Xenopus tropicalis: one gene and its partner. The protein of the gene in region 2 binds, or shares a complex with, the protein of the main gene of each other region. Links are inferred from orthologs where the notes say so. Each region holds a gene or a part of one and is shown on either strand. Other genes may lie near its edges.

What was found.
Region 1: dhx9 (region 2) and ybx1 share a complex: the UniProt entries of both Homo sapiens proteins name them as parts of the coding region determinant (CRD)-mediated complex. The link is inferred for Xenopus tropicalis from reciprocal best matches to the Homo sapiens genes DHX9 and YBX1.

The regions. Positions count from the first base shown.
Region 1 is NC_030683.2:94,732,823-94,739,176, forward strand, and holds the start of ybx1 (nuclease-sensitive element-binding protein 1), read right to left. Parts: upstream 3,982-6,354; 5' UTR 3,827-3,981; coding exon 3,727-3,826; intron 2,474-3,726; coding exon 2,410-2,473; intron 1,592-2,409; coding exon 1,558-1,591; intron 1,241-1,557; coding exon 1,151-1,240; intron 754-1,150; coding exon 445-753; intron 28-444; coding exon 1-27. UniProt on the Homo sapiens protein: DNA- and RNA-binding protein involved in various processes, such as translational repression, RNA stabilization, mRNA splicing, DNA repair and transcription regulation.
Region 2 is NC_030680.2:100,156,815-100,162,617, reverse strand, and holds part of dhx9 (ATP-dependent RNA helicase A), read left to right. Parts: intron 1-648; exon of another isoform or gene 649-706; intron 707-1,638; coding exon 1,639-1,685; intron 1,686-1,765; coding exon 1,766-1,902; intron 1,903-2,125; coding exon 2,126-2,215; intron 2,216-2,298; coding exon 2,299-2,460; intron 2,461-2,554; coding exon 2,555-2,629; intron 2,630-2,820; coding exon 2,821-3,012; intron 3,013-3,103; coding exon 3,104-3,245; intron 3,246-3,324; coding exon 3,325-3,407; intron 3,408-5,389; coding exon 5,390-5,546; intron 5,547-5,803. UniProt on the Homo sapiens protein: Multifunctional ATP-dependent nucleic acid helicase that unwinds DNA and RNA in a 3' to 5' direction and that plays important roles in many processes, such as DNA replication, transcriptional activation, post-transcriptional RNA regulation, mRNA translation and RNA-mediated gene silencing.

The DNA of each region.
Region 1 (6,354 bases), on a different chromosome or scaffold from region 2:
TTGTGAAGAACCTTGACCATCTGATCCCTGGAAAAGGGGGTTATAATAAAACAAGTTCAAAAGCTAATCAAAATGTCTTGTCTAATTGTGAATGCTCCTAGTGGCAAACTGGTTTAGTCCTGTCTACTTCAAAAGTACAAACACACGGATTAAATTCACTGTGGCATGAAAACCACCTGGAAACCCAAAAAGAAAGATAGAAACACAGGACAGTCCTATTAAAGCAGCAACAAAACTGCAAGAACAAACTTCTATAAAATGCTACAACAATATGGGAAAAATATTTCTGCGTAGTATTCCAGTTGCAGAAAAAAAAAAAAAAAGGAAAATAACATCATTTAATGCTACCTGCTGCATCACCATTTAAAGTGAACTTTCCAAGGTAAAAATTTTATTACACTATTTCTAACCTTAGCTAGTAATTAAGTATACACAGATAAATACCTCTGCACCTTCTCCCTGAATAGGAGCATTTGAGTATTGTGGTCTGCGCCCATATGGTCTCCGCAAGTAGTATGGTGGAACACGTCTCCTGCGGTATGGACGTTGCTGATTTGAACCCCCCTCTCCTTCAGGTGCACTCTCATTCCCTTCTGTCTTCTCTCCACTTTCATTATTTTGGTAATTTTGCTGGTAGTTACGTGGAGGACCTCTGCGACGCTGATAGCGCCTGAAATGATTACGGTCTGCTGCATATTTGCTGCCTTGGACTGGAACACCCCCTGGACCAGTTACATTAGCTGCCTCTGCACCCTATACAAAAATAAACGCATTAATAATATGGTTTCAGAGGACATGTACAAAGTTACATAACCCCCCCCCCCCTGCCTCCTTTTATAATTTAATGGGTGGCCTATTTTCTGGGTTTATTTGTTTTTTTAAGCCATGAAAAACCTAAGTTATACAGTAGGCAGTTTCCAAACTCTAGATGGGGCTGTATGCAACTAACGTAACAGACTAAAAACAGACATAGGGATGTAGAAATGGTAACCAAAATGACCAAGTTTCAATGATTTAATATGATCAAGTGGCAGTATAAAATATTATGCTATTTCTGGTATAGGTTATATAGTTCAGAAATGTTGAAGACTAAAAATATACACTTGTAGCTTGTGTAAAACGTATCCTCGTACCCTTTTGATAGTCTTACCTTTTCACCCTCCACTACATCAAACTCAACAGTTTCACCATCTCCCACACTGCGAAGGTACTTCCTAGGGTTATTCTTCTTGATGGCAGTCTAAAAAAAATATATTTTTTTTTTTAAATAAAAAGACATTAAAAGAAATCTGAACAAATGCTGAAAACTGATTAAATCTGCTTTTGCTCTATCTAGTTCCATGGCAATATAAAAAGGTGTAGGAAAATGTCCTATCCAACTGTGGAACAGTCATGACTTTCTATTCAGTATGCATTCTTTTATTACACCAAGGCAATCCGCTTTGATCAACACTATACTCAAATACAAGTTACCATATTAGAAGTTATAGAATACATTTTCTATACTAGATTGGACTAGACATCTGTAAAAAAAACCCAGATAAGTGGAATACTTACTTGGTGTACAAACACATCTTCCTTGGTGTCATTCCTATAAGGATAAAAACAAAATGTTAACGACAAAAGGTAGAAATTTTCACAGCACAACAAAGCTAAACAAAACAAAAATAGATTAAAGGCTTGTACTGTGCAAATTAATTTATATGTATAGGTCAAACACTAAAGGCAACATAAGCACAAAAATAGGAATAATGCTGGAAAGGCATTTTTTCTACCAACCACAAAGCATTGCCTTTAGACAAAGAATGGGCAAATGAAAATATATTTCAACCAGCATCCTTTTTTTCTCCATAAAGCCCACATCATATAGCTCATTTCTGACATTTTAGGAAAGAAGCCATCTTATATAATTGTTTTTAACAAACCGATTTATTTGGTTTATGTGAAAAAAGTACATTTCCTTTCAAAAAGCAGAAAAATCTTAAGATACAGTCGAAAGGATAAGGGAAAGCTGAATTAAAGCATGCCAGCCCTGGCTACTGGGTGCAATTACTGTTTTTGTTGTGTATCTGAATTTCTACAACAGCGACAGGCAAAGATCATTTTCTTGGCACAGGCATTCATAGAAGTACAGCGCTGAAACCGGTAGGCAGTGCTACTTAGGAAGCAAGCAATACAGCAGCTCCCCATCTCTATAAAAACATTTTTAAACTATGCCTTCCCCAAGTGTTAAGTAATTTAAGTAACTTCTGGTATTGCTTAACCGCATATCCTGGAATATATACTTGCTAAACCATATTAAAACAAGCATTTATGGGAAGTACCACGTGCATGGCCCCGAAGGGTCAGGCAGGCTGTAACAAGTTTACCAAATTACTAATCTAAGTTGGGGCAGAAATATGAACTCACCTGTTAATGAAGCCGTAACCATTGCGCACATTAAACCATTTGACCGTACCCAAAACCTTGGTTGCTGAAAGAAAATAAAAAATCGTTAGTTTGGAGTGAGGCACAAGATCAATCTAATATGCACAATAGAGCAATCACTTTCTGGCAGCACAGTAGCACCATAAACACAGGGGGTGGGTGGTGGTTTGGAAAGCTAACTTTTACAAAAAAAAATAATTAGAAATTATAAATACTAGTTACATGCAACTTATTGATCAGCAGCCAGTGAGATACAAGCCAAAGCAATACATAAACACTGCTAGTTTAATGGCTATCTGGACATACAACTTCAATGGCTACTGGGCCAGGCACAGCTATACAGTAATTACATTGAGTAGGATGGATGGGGGTGGATGGGGGAAGAGGAACAAAAACAAAGCCCTATCCCATGGCCCTGGTAGCAACATTTCCTGAGGGAAAGTAATGCAACTGGTTGTGTGCATTCCCACTCACTGCTATATAAACACACGGAATTACAATTAAAGGCATCAGCAAACAAACATTGCTATTTGGGGCCATAAGAGTGTTGTCAATTCTTTTTTTCAAATGAAAAACTACAACTCCCAGAATCCCCGTTTATTGCCAAGCGCTATAAAGGCTGCTACTAAGCAAGCCGAGTGCAAAGATAGACTAAAATGGCTCTCATGCCCCTCCCGCTCAGGCCCAGGCGGTACGAGCAGCTCCGTGCCACAACTACTCACACACCACGTGGCTGGAGCCGGGCCAGAGCCGCAACCCGAGCAGCCGGGACACACGGAGCCGCCAATTCCCAGCGCCATCACGGCCCTCACACTCCCCCGTATGTTTGCAAAGCAAACGTGAGGCCAGAGGCGCTACTGGGGACCCAGCAAAGGCGCGGCGGCATACAAAAGAGGAGGTGGGGGGGGTGTAGGCCGCAGGCGGCGGCGGACATGTTACAGGCCCTATTCCTCTCAGGACACAGGAAGGGATGATGTCACGGCGCTGCGGGGGGGGGGGTGATGTCACGGCGCCGGGGGGGGCAGAGATCCGTCACCAACAACTCCGCGTGGCACGACACTCCACGTCGGTGTAACCGCCACTCACCCGCGCCCTATAGTAAAAGCGAAAACCGCTCCCTCACACTATAAATAAACAGATAACCGCGCCTGTTTGTGCAAATATCTAGTAATCGCCTTAACCAACGTGACTGCACAGGGGATGCTGGGAGTAGTAGTCATATTGAGCCTGACGCGCCAAATACCCAGCCCTGCCTGTGTCCGAGAGGCATCTCTCGTATGCTAATTCAATCGTACTTACCGATGACCTTCTTCTCCCCCACGGTGGCCGCCGGTTCCTGGCCGGCCTTGCCCTCCAATGCGACTGTCTGCTGCTGTTGTGTTTCAACCTCGCTGCTCATTGTGTCTTTGATGGTGTAAGTTGGCTGCTTTCGGAGGTGGTGACTCGGGCCGGCGGTTGGCTCGCTTTAACTTCCCCCCGGGGTGTTGATGGTAACTCAGGCCGGCGGTGGGGCTGCTGCCTTTCGAGCTCCCTGCTGTCCGCTCTCCGCTCCCGCTACCGATCGAACTGCCTGGCAATGGCCTTACAGACGGGTTAATCATCGCAGACATCCCGCCCTGGCTATTATCCTATTGGTCAATTGGCTTGTCAGTCTACGGGTTTAGTAAAAAACTCTGCAGTTGTATGGTCGAATGGCTTGTCAATCAAGAATCGACGCGCTCTGTTTGGATGTGTTCCTTCTGTAATCTTATTGGCTAAGGCAGATGTCAATAACAGGATTGGAGGGATTAGTCTCTGCCTCTAGCGTCTGCATTATTGGATGGGATGTAGCTGTTGAGCTCTAAGGCTGATATAAACAGTGATCAATAAAGTGTAAGGTGTGGGGGGTAGGATAAATGCAATAAACTATTGGGCAGGTACCTCAATATTTGACTTGTGTTTAGTTCAGCTGTTTCCCGGCACATCAGCCCTTATGAGCTGAAGGTAATGATACCAGATCACTCATATAAGGGGTTGTGCTTAGGCAACGGACTCTGTCTATTGTTATGGCGCTGAGTCCAAATCCAAGGTTTTATGGAAGTATGGCGTATTGCTTATTTCCTAATCCTCGGATTGTCTAACGGGCAGGCCCCCCCGACCTCATGTCTTGATTTCTGTTTGTTTCTTCGCAATGGTGTAATTTCTGCCTTATTGCTTATATTTTCCCAAATACATTACACAGCAGAGTATATTAGTGTTTTATAAATGGGCTTTAATAATAGCGGGAATAGTCACATCAGCAGTACACTTGCACAGCCTAACTTGCAGTATGCTCCATAGCTGCAATAACAGCATGCACATCGCAAATACTAATATAAATGTGATAGTTTAAGACACATTAAAATCTATCTCATATAATTTTAATAAAACTCCACAAAAGCAAATGAGAATTAAATAATATGAATTAGTCTTTCTGACTGGTTAGGTCAGATCAATAATGATGTATGAGCTGACAATTCATGGTTCAACACTGACTGATTACTGGTCTATTAAAGGAACAGTAACACCAAAAAATGAAAGTGTTTTAAAGTAATTGAAATATAATGTACTGTGGCCCTGCGCTGGTAAAACTGGGGTGTTTGCTTCAGAAACACTACTATAGTTTATATAAATAAGCTTCTGTGTAGCCATGGGGGCAGCCATTCAAGCTGGAGAAAAGGCACAGGCACATAGCCGATAACAGATAAGACACCATTGTATTCTACAGGATTTATCTGTTAGCTGCTATATAACCTGTGCCTTTTCTTCTTTTGAATGGCTGCCCCCATGGCTACACACCAGGGTTTATATAAACTCTAGTAATGTTTCTGAAGCAAACACACAACTTTTACCAGTGCAGGGCAGCAGTACATTATAGTTTAATTTCTTTGAAATATATACATTTTTTGGTGTTACTGTTCCTTTAATGGGCCGAGACAACCTCCGCAGCAAGGCACCAACTGCATCAGGCCATGGTCACAGTCCTCTCCTGCCAGGTCTTTATGTGTTATATGGACAAAACAAAATATTACTGTTATGTATTAAAATGCTGTCTTTTTTCTGCATTATGTTGACTATGTTTATTATAGGTTGTGTGTTGTTTGTGTTGAAGAGACATTTTGGGGGCCCCTTTATGGTCTGCCATGCTCCAGTGGGCCATGGGTTGGGCTTCTGCAGCAGACACAAGATGGCCTCCTATGATGTCAGAGGGTGGGCCAGATCAGGGTGTAAAGCAACACATGGGGGTACTCTGGGTGCACCTGTACAGCTAGTAAACTGAGAGAGAGGGAGGGAGAGACTGGGGACGGAGGGAGGGGAAGGCACCCTTAATGCCATGGTAAAATTATTATTATATTCCACAGCATGGTATAATAGATGGGTGTATACATTGATCACAAACAGATATACAACAGATACCTGATACAAGAGGTAAATAGAGAACTGCTCAATAGAGCTTACAAGTAACACGAGGTAATGGAAAAAGAGAGAAGGTAAAACAACAGGATCTGCTTAAAGAAGTTTCAAGACCAACAGTGGAAATGTGCAGTAAAAGAAAGAGGAAAATAAGCAGTGGACTGAAGTCAAACAGAAGGAAAGAGAGTAGAGAAAAGGGTAGAAAAGCACTAAACCAAGGGAGGGAAAGTATGTGGAAGAAAGAAGAAGAAATTTGGTAAATGAAAAAGTCAGCCACAATGCCTGACTGAGGAACTATACTAAATAAAGGGAACTAGGGGAGAACCGAGTAAATATTCTTCAAAAGCCATGCACCCCCTAAAAACCTGTTTTTAAACTATGGGGGAGAAGAACTTTCCTACATACATTCATTATACAATGCAAATAGTTTTAAAGCTATTAGTAAATGCTTTTGCAATTGAAAACATTGTTTATCCCTTTCTGTTCTGACTTTTG
Region 2 (5,803 bases):
CGCAGTAGAGTGAAAAGCCGAGCTTTAACAGAGAAGTCGACTTTTCACTCTACTGCGCATGCGATTGTCCGGGACATTTGGCAGCAGCGCAAGTTGGAAGGAGGAAGCGTTCTTTTCTCCTAACAGGGGCACCAGCCCGGGGTACAAGGTAGGCGATTTAAGGTACAGTGACTTTGCCTTTCCTTCTCCTTTAATACTGTTTTGCCTTTGACCTTTACCTAATCATTACATAACAAGAGGGAAAAGTAAGACCAAAGCCAATATGTGCTAAATTTTGACTGCAGTAGTCCTTACGTATTTGCTGTGTGTTTTTGAAAATTGGAAATTGACTAGCTGTTATACAGTTATTTGTGTTTCTCAGCCAGCTGTTAAAGAACAGAGCATTACAGAGAGTATTAAACTTACTCCCAGTAAAGCTCGTATATGAAAAAATTCTTGTGGAATGGGTTTATTCAAATGCTTATGTTACAGTGTGTTACTAATTTGTGTCTTTGGAAATTGTTACAATTTGCTGAAATTAGAATTAAAGAGTAGAGGCTGTGACACCAGGAATCTCTTCTTAACACATGGGGTGGAGTTTAGGCTGTACTAAGCTATCCCATGTGAAGTCTGTTACTGACTACTGAATCCTGGTGTCACTCTCTCCAGGTGACCAAAAAGGCCGGCTGAGAAACACATTCACAGGCTGCTAGGGCGTGTTCTGCAGGTCAGTGTCTTCTGAGCTTATTCTAGTTTTATAAAGTAATGCAATCTTGAATAACATGATGCTAAGATCTTATCTTTTGGAGGGCTGGAATTAAGGGAGAAGGGATTTTTGTTGTAGCGGAAATATTGTGCCTCAACTTGAGAGGAATAATTTACAGTTCCAACCTGTCACCATTTTGCTGTTTTTGAGCAAACCCCAGCACTCCTGATAATCTTTGAAAATCAATAGGATGTTTTGAAGTACTGTAACGACAGCATACTGGTTTACCCCCTTTATATACTACCAGTTTAATACACAATTTGGTCAGTGGTCTCTTCAAAAATTAGGGGTCCGGGTCCTCATTATTCTATCCTAAAACCAGCCCTTAAACTATCATAACCTGACATATTTGCCTTTACTGGGTAATATATGAATTTAATAAACCATTCCTCCAGCTTTAATATTTGGACCTTGTACTCTGGATTACAATAAGATAACTATCTAGAACAGGATTGTCACAGTTGGAAATCTTTGTTTGGACATGCTGACAAATGTAATTTACCATCTGTAAACATAATTCAGTATCATGCATGTTCACCGCCAGCAGTGGAAACACAGATAGAGGCCAGAAGCAACCAGTTCTTTTGTGTGCAGTATATGAATGGCATCAGCCTGTCATTGTGTACATGAACATTTTCTGCAAAAATCAGCTCCCATTTGCACAGTGACAGGCTGATGCTATTCATATCACTAGCCACACAGTGGAAATAGTGTATTGGCATTTTCTTTGCCAGCAAGAAACAGCATTGTGTGCCAGAGATGGAATATATGATGTTTTAGGCTGGAACTCTTCTTTATCTGTGCTTTTTCGGTGACTCCCTAACAAGGTGAATAAATGTGTTACGTTTAGGTCTGTACATGCTTTCCTAACACTCTAATAAATGTTTTGGCAGGAGCTTTATTGCAGAAATGACCCTGTATGTTAAGCAGCTTGGAAGAAGTAAGTTCCCCAACTAAATATGCCATATGTATAGAAGGCATCTACCTTTGTACTCTCTAAACCTTTTGTTTAATATTCAGGAATCACGGCAAGAGAACATGGATCTAATAAGAAATTGGCGGCACAATCTTGTGCCCTTTCAATTGTCCGTCAGCTGTATCATCTAAGTGTAATTGAACCATACTCAGGACTGACAAAGAAAAAGGAAGGGGAGGCTGTAAGTTCCTTGTAGATAACCATCTGCATTGTAAATATTGTTTTTTGTTATCTTTGGATTATAATTGTCTCAAATGCAAAGTTTGTGGGTAATCTTAATTGTGATTCATATAATTAACTTAATTTCATTAGGAATACCCCAAAAACATTCTGAAACAAACAGATGCTGCTGCTTCTAAAAATGCTGTTATTACTAAGATGATACTAATGTTTCTGTCTGGCAGGTGGAACCTTATCAAGTGAACTTAAATCCTGATGTGGTGAAACAGCTGCAGAGTACTATTCAGGAGCTAGGAATTGAGTTACCATATCCAGTAAGTGTTTTGTAGTGTGCGTTTTTTTTCCCCTTTCCCTTTTTTGCTTGTTTTAATATAATTGCTGTGTTTTTCCATAATAGCCCCAGGATCCTAGCCAACCTGTGTCCCTTAATTTGGGAAAACTGGTACACTTTGAGCCTTCACAGAAGCAGAGTCACTCTGGTGTGGTGCCATGGTCTCCCCCACAGGAAAACTGGAACCCATGGACAAGCAGCAACATTGATGAAGGACCTCTGGCATTTGTAAGTTTTGTAGTTTCAGAAAAATAAAATGGTTGAATTTGCCTTCTTTTGGGTTAAATTTTTAAAGTTACATTGGCATCTACTTTCTTTAAAGGCTCCCCAGGAGCAGATCAGTGCAGAATTAAAGAATGAACACATGTATCACATGCAAGATCCTAACATGAAACAGGTTGGTTGATTCAGTTTCTAGACTATGCAAAAGTTTTTATAATTGTGGCTTTTGCTAAGCCTAGCACCACTATTTTTTCTGAATGTTTACAGTGCTCAAGACTGAACTGTAAAAACATTTGTAATCTATAATGTATTCAATGGTGTTTTAATATGTATTCTTTCAGTGAGTTCTTGCCTTTCACTTTTTAGGTCTTGATTGATCGAGAGTCTCTTCCTGTTAAGAAATTTGAGGAGGAAATAATGCATGCTGTGCATAACAGCCCTGTTGTAATCATCCGTGGAGCAACAGGCTGTGGTAAAACTACACAGGTCCCACAATACATTCTGGATGAATGTATTCGCAATGATCGTGCAGCGCAGTGTAATATTGTGGTTACACAGGTATAGTTCTGGAAATCAATTCTATGTTACTTAAACATAAAATAACATAAATGATGCAGTGGGTAGTGAGGTCTTTTTTCCTTTTCTATAGCCTAGAAGGATCAGTGCAGTATCTGTTGCAGAACGTGTTGCTTTTGAAAGAGGGGAAGAGATTGGAAAAAGCTGTGGCTACAGTGTGCGTTTTGAATCTGTTCTTCCCCGTCCGCATGCCAGTATGCTTTTCTGCACTGTGGGTACGTATTGCTTAATAATGATGGTTTTCCTTGTACAGTTAATTTATTTTTCTCTTGACAATATTATTAATATTTTCAGGAGTCCTTTTGAGGAAACTGGAGGCTGGGATAAGAGGAATTAGCCATGTGATTGTGGATGAAATTCATGAGCGTGACATTAATGTAAGTTACTCATTAAAAATAATTGAAAGGTTGCTTGGCTATGTTGATCTAACTATAACATTTTAGTTAAAGACTAAATTTTCCCCTTCCCACTTAGGACCCTCAGGCTGAGTAGCCATCTCATGCCTATGTTAATTATTTATCTCTACCACTGTTCAACAATATCCTAAGAAATATTAGTATAGTGTATTAGAAAAAAAAATATCCAAGAAATATGCTACTTTGTTTGCTGCAGGTTTTTTAAGAAATGTTCTGTCTACATTTATTGTAAAAGATTTTCAGTTTTAAGGCCAGCTGTCCCTTTAATATCTATTGGCAGAAGTTAACTCTTATAGTAGAGTATTTATAGAGGCCTTACTCCGTACTGATGCTACTGCATAAGGAATATAGTGTAAAGAATTCACATCAATATTTATATACTTTTGTATATGTTTTATTACTACAAGTCTAAAGGACATGTGAACCCCAAAAATAATTTTTTGCCTAATAAGAGAAAACATAATTCTAAGAAACTTTCCAATATCAATTAATTAAAAAATATTAGTGCTTTAAAAGTTATTTGTAAATATAATTGCTATAGAAAGCAGCATTTGCTGAACTCCTGGTTGTTACTTTTGAAACATTATTACAAGTGCCAGGCTCCTCCAGCAAGGCAGGTCTGTAAAATCTGCTTGCGTTTGTTACATTGTTTCAGTCGCCAGAGCACCCAAGGCACAGAATGGAATTAATAGCAGTTATGTTTCCCCTGACACTTTAGTAACAGTTATCTATACAAATAACTAAAAAAAAAACCATTACAGATATGTAATAAATATATATTGCAAAGTTGCTTAGAATTAAGTTTTCTTTTATTAGGCAATTTTTTTTTTTTCGGGTTGACAAGTCCTTAAAGCTTTATGTTACATTAAACCTTCCCCAAAAGCACCTTTATAAAAAAAAAACTGATTATTTGGCTGTCAGGTTAATGGCACACTGTGCACTTTCTCTGCCCGTGACGCAAACACTGATGCTGCCCCACCCCACCTCTGCGCAGCAACAGGCATGGTTTCACCTTGTATCATTACTTTTAGCGCAGTCTATGTCTAGCATGGATAGACTTTTTTTAATGTACACCTCAAGCATTTGAAATGGTACTTGAATTACTTGGTCACAGATAGACAAAACATGGTATTAGCCTGCAAAAAACTAAAAACCTGCTGTGAACTTCACAATAAAGGTGTTTACAGGCTAATATAGCTTTATGTCAAAAGTTCTTTATCTTTTTTTTTTTTTTAGATCAGCTCCAATGATAGGTAGATTTGTTGCAGGGTATCTAGTTGTTATGCACCCATCCCAGTGGTTCTAGTCACTTACCTTCTGGTGGTCTACTTTGCCATAAAATGCGCTTGCCTGGGATATTAGGGAGGGAGCACAATCTCTTTTGGCTACATTCAGCTGAATGCATGTGTGGTAGAGTAAAATCAAAATGTATAAGTTAACCTTTACTATGCATGCACACATGCCTGGTATCAGAGAAGGAATTGCAAGGAAGGCAGCCATGGCAGTGACAATGGGAAGGTAGCAAGATTGCAGCTCCCTGACACCTGTATTGCTAAAAGTGGTAGATATCAGAATACCACTTAATAGTAAAAATTCCAAGTCCAGCTTAGGACTCCTCCAGTTACATGGATGTAGGAAAAACAATAGGTTACCTGAAAGCAGTTCTAATGTGTAGCACTAGCTCCTTCTAAAAGCTGCCTACACGCCGATATTACAATTAAAAAAATACATTTGTTTGTTCAAGAATACAAATTTAAATGGTAGAGTGAATTGCTATGTAAACAGTGTAATATAGAAATAAAAAGTACACCTTAAAAATCATGACTGAATCCCTTTAAGTTTTGCATGTGGGCTTTCATAACCTACTTTGTAGGCTATATAATTATAATTTGTTTGGCAGCAAAAGTACATATTAAATGCACAGTTTGTGTTTTATCTTTTAGACTGATTTTCTTCTGGTGGTACTTCGTGATGTGATTCAGGCTTTCCCAGATATCCGTGTTATACTCATGTCTGCTACTATTGACACTAGCATGTTCTGTGAATATTTCTTTAACTGCCCAATCATTGAGGTTTTTGGCCGAACATTTCCTGTACAAGGTAATCTAGATTACATTCTTTATTTCTTTATCTTCCACATGTTGTCCACAAAAAACAAAATATGGTTTCATGTTTACAAGATATGGTATCATGTTTTAAACACTGCTTATATGTGTGGGTTTTTTGTCTATTACCCCCACCCTGCAACAAATGCTGAGGTTTTGTTTTTTTTTGCCTCCACCATACTGGGTAAGTAATCATTGAAATGATTACTTAGCAAGTTCAGTTGCTTTAGATTTACTTAGATGTACCATGAC